2 linked regions of the Mus musculus genome follow. The protein of the gene in region 2 purifies or fractionates together with the protein of the main gene of each other region. This does not show direct contact. Links are inferred from orthologs where the notes say so. Each region holds a gene or a part of one and is shown on either strand. Other genes may lie near its edges.

Region 1 (4,198 bases), on a different chromosome or scaffold from region 2:
ATAAAGTCTTTGAGGAAACCACACAGCTAATGGCTCAGCCAGGATTGTTTCTGTCCTCTCTCTCCTCCCCCAGTGGAGGGTGGAACTTCCCATAGTCCAGTAGCAGGAAGATGTGTTATCACTGATGCCAAAGGGACAATATTATGATTGGTGCAAACACAAGTCTTCATTTGCACGAGTTTGCTGTTTGCTGTGTTTGGTGCAAACACCCTTTGCTGGCTGTAAAGCAGAAAGTTTGGCTCACTTGGGTCAGCTGGGACAAACCTTACTATGCTACCCTCCACAATGTCACATTAGGTCCAGTAACAGGAAGACAGTGGCTAAGAGCCCGCCAACTAGGTCACTAGGAGAGTTCCTGGAAACGCTTCAAAGCTAAAGGCCCAGGTACCGCACTTTCTGGAGCTACAGTTCGTAATAAGTTACCAGGGCCGAGGAATTCCCACTCCTCTCTGATTTATACAAAACCCGCCGGCCTGCTGCTTAGGGCTGCCAAATGCGGAGGGATCAAAAGCTACCAAGCCCCAGCCCAGAGAGCTTATGCGTTGAGCAGGACACAGCCAGCTGGTTGGCAACACTGATACTTAGTGTTACTTTGTATTAATATTAAGTGTCCTTAATAGGGAAAGCCCGAGCTTGTGTTTATGTAGCAAGGCAACAGGACAACACTTCTGCTATATGTAACATCTCAAAGGGAATACCACATGGGGGGAGGGGGATGTCCAGGCTGAATAATGGAACTGAGATTATTCTGCTGCTCTAGTTAGCAAGAATTATGGAAAGGTGCATAACCTCAAACCCCACCATTTATTTAGCACCTAGACAGAATGTAAGCCTCCATCTTTCGATATAATTTTGGGTAAATCCTGCCTATTCTCTGCACGACTGTAATGGGCGTGGTCACGTGTCCCCCTCCCCTCCAGCAGAGGCCCGAGTTAGCCGCTCTCGGGTCACCTTGACTACGAGGCTAAGGACCCCGTGAGAAACGCTTCTCATTCGATCGCGGAGTCCTCCATGCCCACAGAGAGGTGCCCAGGGAGAAGCCTGGCGTGGCAAACAAAACTAAAGTAGAGCCGACCGTCGGAGGGTGTTGCATAAGCGTAGAAGAACAAAATGGAGAGCTCTGCGGGGGAAGACGTGAGTTTCCTGTCGCGCTCTTGCTACTGGCGACCGGAGGAGGCGTCGTCTGAAGCTTCATTTCAAGTGGGCGTTCTGCAAAGCCAGCCGCGGAGCGCGCGCGGCGAAAGCCTGCTTCCGGCTCCTTGCGCGTGCGCCCTGGCGGCCGGGAAGGCGGGAGGCCGGGGCGAGCCTGGAACCGGAAGTGAAGGCAGCTTCCCGCCTCCGTCCCCGTTGCTGCCGCCATACACGCTCGCAGTGCTTAGGTAAGCTTTGGCCCTGTGCACCATCCACCGCCATCTGCTTCTCCCGCGGCTCGCCCCGCCGCGCGGGTCCCTGATACCCGGTGCCGGGCCGGCGCCGTGGCCGCCGGCGCGCAGGCGGGCGTCCAGTTCTGTTGTCTTCACCCCTTTCTGAGAGCAGATCTTGGCGGGGAGCTGGGAGACAAGGGGGGAACGATCCAAAATGGTGGCCTCGGCCGCCATTGTGTCTCCGCGCTTCCTGGGTGTTCCAGTGGGTCCTCTGCCCACCCGGGGCCGCGGCGGCCGGAGGCGGCGCCAGGAGGAGGGCGGGGCCCCTCGCATCTCCCCTCCGGGCCTTTTCTTGCTCGCCCAGGGATGGGAAGATCTCGCTCCGGGGCCCGTCCAGCCCTTTGACCCCGCTTTCGCTGCCTTATTTGGAGCTCTCTGTGAATGGCTGCCTCTGTGCGTGGCCGATGGTGTCGCGCACTTCTGGGGAAGCTTTTCCGAGAGCACTGCAAGGCGTTCCTTTCTAAGGCCACCCGGCTCACACTCTTAATCCTGCATCGTTCTCAGCTGTGACCTTAATTCCTTAGTGCGACTTTTAAAATTAACTTTGGCAGCGCTGAGCCGAACCTTGCGGCCTCTCGCGTTACTAAGCAAGCACTGCCATTGAACTGCACACACCCATCTTTTTCAAAACAAAAAAATTTTTTTTTTCTTGAAATGGAGCCATTCATACACTTCCCACCCTCCGCCCCGCACCACCCTCCTTCCTGCTTCTGTTCCCCGGTCCAGGTGTGCGCCGCTGGGACGGCCACTCGGGGGTTTCTGAGCAAGAGAATAGCGGCAGCCACATGATGTTTGCATTTGGGAAGTGAGCGCTCTGCGCAGTGCTGACCCTTATCTATCACCCTTGACTGATGGCTGACGTTGGGGATCACCACCGTGAGGTGGCAGGAGAAAGCGCAGTCTCTGTCTTCCCTTGTCCTTTGTGTCTCAACCCTCGTGTGAGTCGTTAGTCACGCTCATTTTACTGCGGTCTCCCAGTTGGCTCCTGCCTGTCGAAGTGTGTGTTACAAAGTCTGGTTAGCGGTGGAGCCCACTCTGTCTCTCCCGTCTGGTGTTCCCGTTTCTTATGTCATGAGTCTCTTTGTTAACTCTTCTTTCGGGACAAAGGTTTCACAGTTTAGGGAAGAATAGGACGGGTGTAGGGATCGACGAGAAGTGACGAGTCCATTCGTGACTGATGAGTTTTTCCGGTTTTTTTGTTGTCCCCTCTCCCAGCTCTTCTGTCGGAAACTGGTGTCTTTCCCCTTGCTGTTCTTCAACCCCTCTCTTTGGCCCTTGCTTCCTCACCTGCTCTGGGACACCTAACTCAAGAGACCTCCCTTCTCCCCCTGCCGGCCCAATTATGGCAGAGAACGATGTGGACAATGAGCTCTTGGACTACGAAGACGACGAGGTGGAGACAGCCGCTGGGGCAGATGGGACCGAGGCTCCCGCCAAGAAAGACGTCAAGGGCTCCTACGTCTCCATCCACAGCTCCGGCTTCCGAGATTTTCTACTCAAGCCAGAGCTGCTCCGGGCCATCGTTGACTGTGGCTTTGAGCATCCATCAGAGGGTACATTTTATTGTTGGGTGTAGAGACCTTATTTAGCACCTCTGGTGCAAGAAAAGGGAGGTTCAAGTCTAGGGTCATAGGATTTGAATTTATTTGGGATAGGCCAAGCTCTGAGAATGTACCCAAGACGGCAGCTGTAGAAGAGGCTTTTGTTCTCCGTTAAACAGAGGGCTGCCATTTGTTCTGTGCCTGGCTTTTTTGCTTGGTTTTTGTCTTTCTGACTGTTCGGACTCCCAGAGAGGGCCTGGTTGGACCTTTAGTTCCCTTCTTTTGGGCCAGGCCAAGTGTCGTTTCCGGAAACCTTAACGATCAGGATGCTGGCTTCTGTGGCTTCTGGGTCAGGTACCAAGTCCTTCATTTTGTTCAAGGTTGCAGGGTTACATGACCCAAAAGCACAGCAACCTATGTAGGAGAAATGGCCTGTGGCAGTCGAATTCATAGATTGTTGCGGTGTAAGAAAAGTAAGTTTAGCCAGGAACGTGGAAGGTGAGCTGTTGGTAGCTTCACGAGGGTTCTTTCTTAGCGGAACTGGGGAGCTGGGGTAGGAGGGTTTGACTTGAGTGTAAGAGTGATGAGGGTCAGGGAAAGGATGGGGTCTGAAAGGTGACAAGGTGACATATGATGAGTCGGCTGGGGAGAAAGGGGTTTGGCACGGTGCAAAAATGTCTCTCCTTTCTCCTCCTAGTCCAGCATGAGTGCATCCCGCAGGCCATTCTGGGGATGGATGTCCTGTGCCAGGCCAAGTCAGGCATGGGAAAAACAGCAGTGTTTGTCCTGGCCACACTGCAGCAGCTGGAGCCCGTTACTGGGCAGGTATGTTGGGGGCAGTGCTGGAGAGGGTGTGGAGATTGAATCACCAGGAGGCCGTTTCTGGCTCCATGTGTTCTCAGCTGGTGTCCTCTGCAGTTCAAGGGGAATGTTCGCCAACATCACTGACAAGTTGCTGGATGCTCTTGTGACGAGGGGCTGACTTTACTGTGTCTGTCTCCATTTGCTCCCTCAAAGGTGTCTGTGCTGGTGATGTGTCACACTAGGGAGCTGGCTTTTCAGATCAGCAAGGAATATGAGCGCTTCTCTAAGTACATGCCGAATGTCAAGGTAAGGGGGGAAAGAAACCTGGGACAGGAGGCTGTGGGGAGACAGGCACTGGGAGGGAGGTTGGCTGTCCTCGGGCATCCCTGTGCTGTCAGTGGTGTGGTCACATGAGAGACTTCAGTTAGT
Region 2 (3,645 bases):
TGCCACAGACATGATGATATCTCTGAGATAAAGCCCTGGATCTCATCAGTACACCCCTAACTAAATCTTCATCCATAGCAGCACTTCAGAGGTGGGCTCTGCATGTTAGAGGGCATCCTGAGCACTGCCAATGGCCCTTGTTCCAGTGCCCAGCACCTATGGCTCCAACAAATCTCCTACTTTAATAAAATTTACTTCATAAAAACAAAGTGTTAAGCCAGATACGGTGGCTCACACATTTAATCCCAGCACTTGGGAGGCAGAGACAGGTAGATCCTTGAGTTTCAGGCCAGCCTGGCTTACAGAGCCAGTTTCAGGACAGCCAGGGATACACAGAGCAGGGCTACCCTGCTTTGAAAAACAAAAACAAAGCACCCTGTTTGTTTTTATATGTGGAATTCCAGAGTTAAGTAAAAGGGGAGGTCAAAAGGGGAAGGAAGGGGATGTGTGAACAAGAGGAGGATTAAATGGGACCCAAGTGCATCACAGGCATGCAGGCTAACAGTGAAATAAAGACACACTAACAAACACAAATGTAAATGAAATTCCCCCTCAGTCAGTAAGCTGCTTTTTCATAAATTATTTGTTTAAAAGGAGCTTTGGCATTATTTGAACTCGCTTCTAGTCAACAGCTAAGTTTTACTCAGTAATTTCATCATTCTGACCAAAAATCAATACCAAAGATCAAGTTTACCTTTTGTAGCAAATCTCATGAATAGTCTATTTCCTTTAGCAAGTTTGTTAGCTGGACGAAGATCATTTCGTAACAGAGACTCTTCTTCTACCTGAGACAACGTGTCCAACTTAAAAGACAAAAAAAAAAAAAAAGGAGAACACTTTCAACATAAAACTCCAGCATTTTTCATACTTTTTCTGTGCAGTTCCCATTAAGAAGCCTTCTGCCCATCAGTGTCACAGCATCTATTCCTACGGCGACTCTGAAGTCAGGGTTTCCTTGACTAACTCGCCTAAAAAATAGTCCCCATCATTTTCTATCTCCTTTATTATGAACACTTTTTAAAAATTATGTGCACAGGAAAGTGTCTGTGTGGAGTTATGTGCACATGAGTTCTGTCTACAGAGGACAGAACAAAGTTGGCTACCCTGTAGTGAGTATGACAAGCAGTCGTAAGCCATCCCACATGGATGCTGGAAGTGTAACTCAGGTCCCCTGCAAGCACAACATGTACTATCCCTGCAGCCCTTAATCTCTCTCCCTTCACCCTTTACAGTCTTCAGAGTGCTCACTGTGTCTCCTAGCAGCAACTGTGTATCTGTCCTCCCCTCTAAAATGCAGCCTCCAGTGAGGCAAGGGCCTTTAAAAAAAAAAAAAAACCCTGATAGTTTGTTCCCAGAATTTGGTATATAGTAAACACTTACCATTTAAATAATTCAACATGAAATGAATATACTTAGCTGAGGGCACAGATCAGAAGCACAGCACTTGCCTAACATGTGCAAGCCCCCCACCTCTAACCCAAATATTTCAAATGAACACTCTCCAACATTTCTGACAAACACTACTTGTTTTTTAGATAACACTTCAAAGTGTTTCTTATTAAACCCATTTTCTCTTCTACACAAATATGAACACTATTCTAAGACTCCAAAATGAACTGTTACATCCACACAAACTAAAAGGCTACATGAACATAGCTTACTAAGTCTTTACATCTGACATTTAAAAAGACAGTAAGCATTATTTTTTTCCAATAAAACCTTAGATATCTTTGCCCTATTACTAACCTCTACATCACTTGAATTCTCATCTTCCACTTCTCCTTCTTCAGTCTCGTCGTCATCTGAACTGTCTTCCTGCTTGTCTAAAATGGAGTGTGAGGGACAAGAGGAACCTTAATGTAACCCCATCATAAACTCGTAAAGTTTAAAAAGCCCAGTGTTCCCTATTCCTATTAACTGATAGACCCAAGTATCATAGTTTACCTCAGAAACATCTGGTGAGGCAGTATTCACAATGCTCTATCTACTCAAGGCCCTGAACAGATCGGTGCACAGGGCGACATCTGGTGAGGCAGTATTCACAATGCTCTATCTACTCAAGGCCCTGAACAGATCGGTGCACAGGGCGACATCTGGTGAGGCAGTATTCACAATGCTCTATCTACTCAAGGCCCTGAACAGATCGGTGCACAGGGCGACATCTGGTGAGGCAGTATTCACAATGCTCTATCTACTCAAGGCCCTGAACAGATCGGTGCACAGGGCGGCATCTGGTGAGGCAGTATTCACAATGCTCTATCTACTCAAGGCCCTGAACAGATCGGTGCACAGGGCGGCATCTGGTGAGGCAGTATTCACAATGCTCTATCTACTCAAGGCCCTGAACAGATCGGTGCACAGGGCGGCATCTGGTGAGGCAGTATTCACAATGCTCTATCTACTCAAGGCCCTGAACAGATCGGTGCACAGGGCGGCATCTGGTGAGGCAGTATTCACAATGCTCTATCTACTCAAGGCCCTGAACAGATCGGTGCACAGGGCGGCATCTGGTGAGGCAGTATTCACAATGCTCTATCTACTCAAGGCCCTGAACAGATCGGTGCACAGGGCGACATCTGGTGAGGCAGTATTCACAATGCTCTATCTACTCAAGGCCCTGAACAGATCGGTGCACAGGGCGGCATCTGGTGAGGCAGTATTCACAATGCTCTATCTACTCAAGGCCCTGAACAGATCGGTGCACAGGGCGGCATCTGGTGAGGCAGTATTCACAATGCTCTATCTACTCAAGGCCCTGAACAGATCGGTGCACAGGGCGGCAAGGGCCCTCTTTGTGCGCAGTTACCTTTCTTGTTCTTCTCCGACGACTTGTCTTCACTGGCATCTCTGCTTCTCATCTTATCCTGGGCTGGCAGAGAACTCATATTGATGAGAGCTCGTGTGGCCGTCATCTCGTCCAGCCAAACCACATTGCCTACGATAGAGCATCAGCACACCCGAGTGTAACTTCCTGAGAGCAGATTTGGCATCAGGTTCACTGCCACAGCCTAACTGGCTACAAAGGCTGTTGGTCAATATCAAAACCAGCTCATGAAAAAAGCAGACAATGGTGGCAAATGTCTCATGAATGTCCTCCAGAGCTACATTCCCAAACCCAATTCCACCAATAACTATTCTGAGCAAGGAACTGCCTGAAGCCAAATGTGGCAGCACACACTTACAATCCTAGCGTGTGGCAGGCAAAGGCTAGCGAATTCCCAGTGCTACGCCAGGTGGGGCTAGACTAAGACTTGTGAACTTTTTTCTCCTAGGCTAAGGACAAAAGTTAAGCATAGGCAGTTTGGGCAATAATTATTCACTATCAAAATAGCAAGAACTCCTTAAAAATCATAAACGAAAGCATACTACACCGAAAATGTAGGTATACTTACAGGAGGTGTCATCCAACCACTCAATGTGAGCTGGAGGATATTCCTTAAAATAGGAGAAGATATCCTGGGTGCTCATTTCATCCACTCCACAAATGTAGATTGTCTCCAGTCTCACCTTGGGAATTGCTAAAAAACAAGACACAGAATTTTCCTACCTGCTATTTACAGCTTGCTAAGAATTTTTTACCATGGTTTAGATAATGATTCTAGAAGAGGAAGAAACTGAAACAGTAATAATTTCAAAAGAACACAG

The links.
Region 1: the proteins of Ncbp3 (region 2) and Ddx39b purify together in Homo sapiens (co-immunoprecipitation; 4 studies listed by BioGRID and IntAct, with this or other methods). This does not show direct contact. The link is inferred for Mus musculus from reciprocal best matches to the Homo sapiens genes NCBP3 and DDX39B.

Annotation. Positions count from the first base shown.
Region 1 is NC_000083.6:35,240,474-35,244,671, forward strand, and holds the start of Ddx39b (spliceosome RNA helicase Ddx39b), read left to right. Parts: upstream 1-1,272; 5' UTR 1,273-1,379; intron 1,380-2,204; exon of another isoform or gene 2,205-2,281; intron 2,282-2,343; exon of another isoform or gene 2,344-2,362; intron 2,363-2,639; 5' UTR 2,640-2,766; coding exon 2,767-2,977; intron 2,978-3,601; exon of another isoform or gene 3,602-3,662; coding exon 3,663-3,790; intron 3,791-3,982; coding exon 3,983-4,075; intron 4,076-4,198. UniProt on the Homo sapiens protein: Involved in nuclear export of spliced and unspliced mRNA. Component of the TREX complex which is thought to couple mRNA transcription, processing and nuclear export, and specifically associates with spliced mRNA and not with unspliced pre-mRNA.
Region 2 is NC_000077.6:73,064,861-73,068,505, reverse strand, and holds part of Ncbp3 (nuclear cap-binding protein subunit 3), read right to left. Parts: intron 3,519-3,645; coding exon 3,393-3,518; intron 2,936-3,392; coding exon 2,807-2,935; intron 1,824-2,806; coding exon 1,747-1,823; intron 804-1,746; coding exon 695-803; intron 1-694. UniProt on the Homo sapiens protein: Associates with NCBP1/CBP80 to form an alternative cap-binding complex (CBC) which plays a key role in mRNA export. NCBP3 serves as adapter protein linking the capped RNAs (m7GpppG-capped RNA) to NCBP1/CBP80.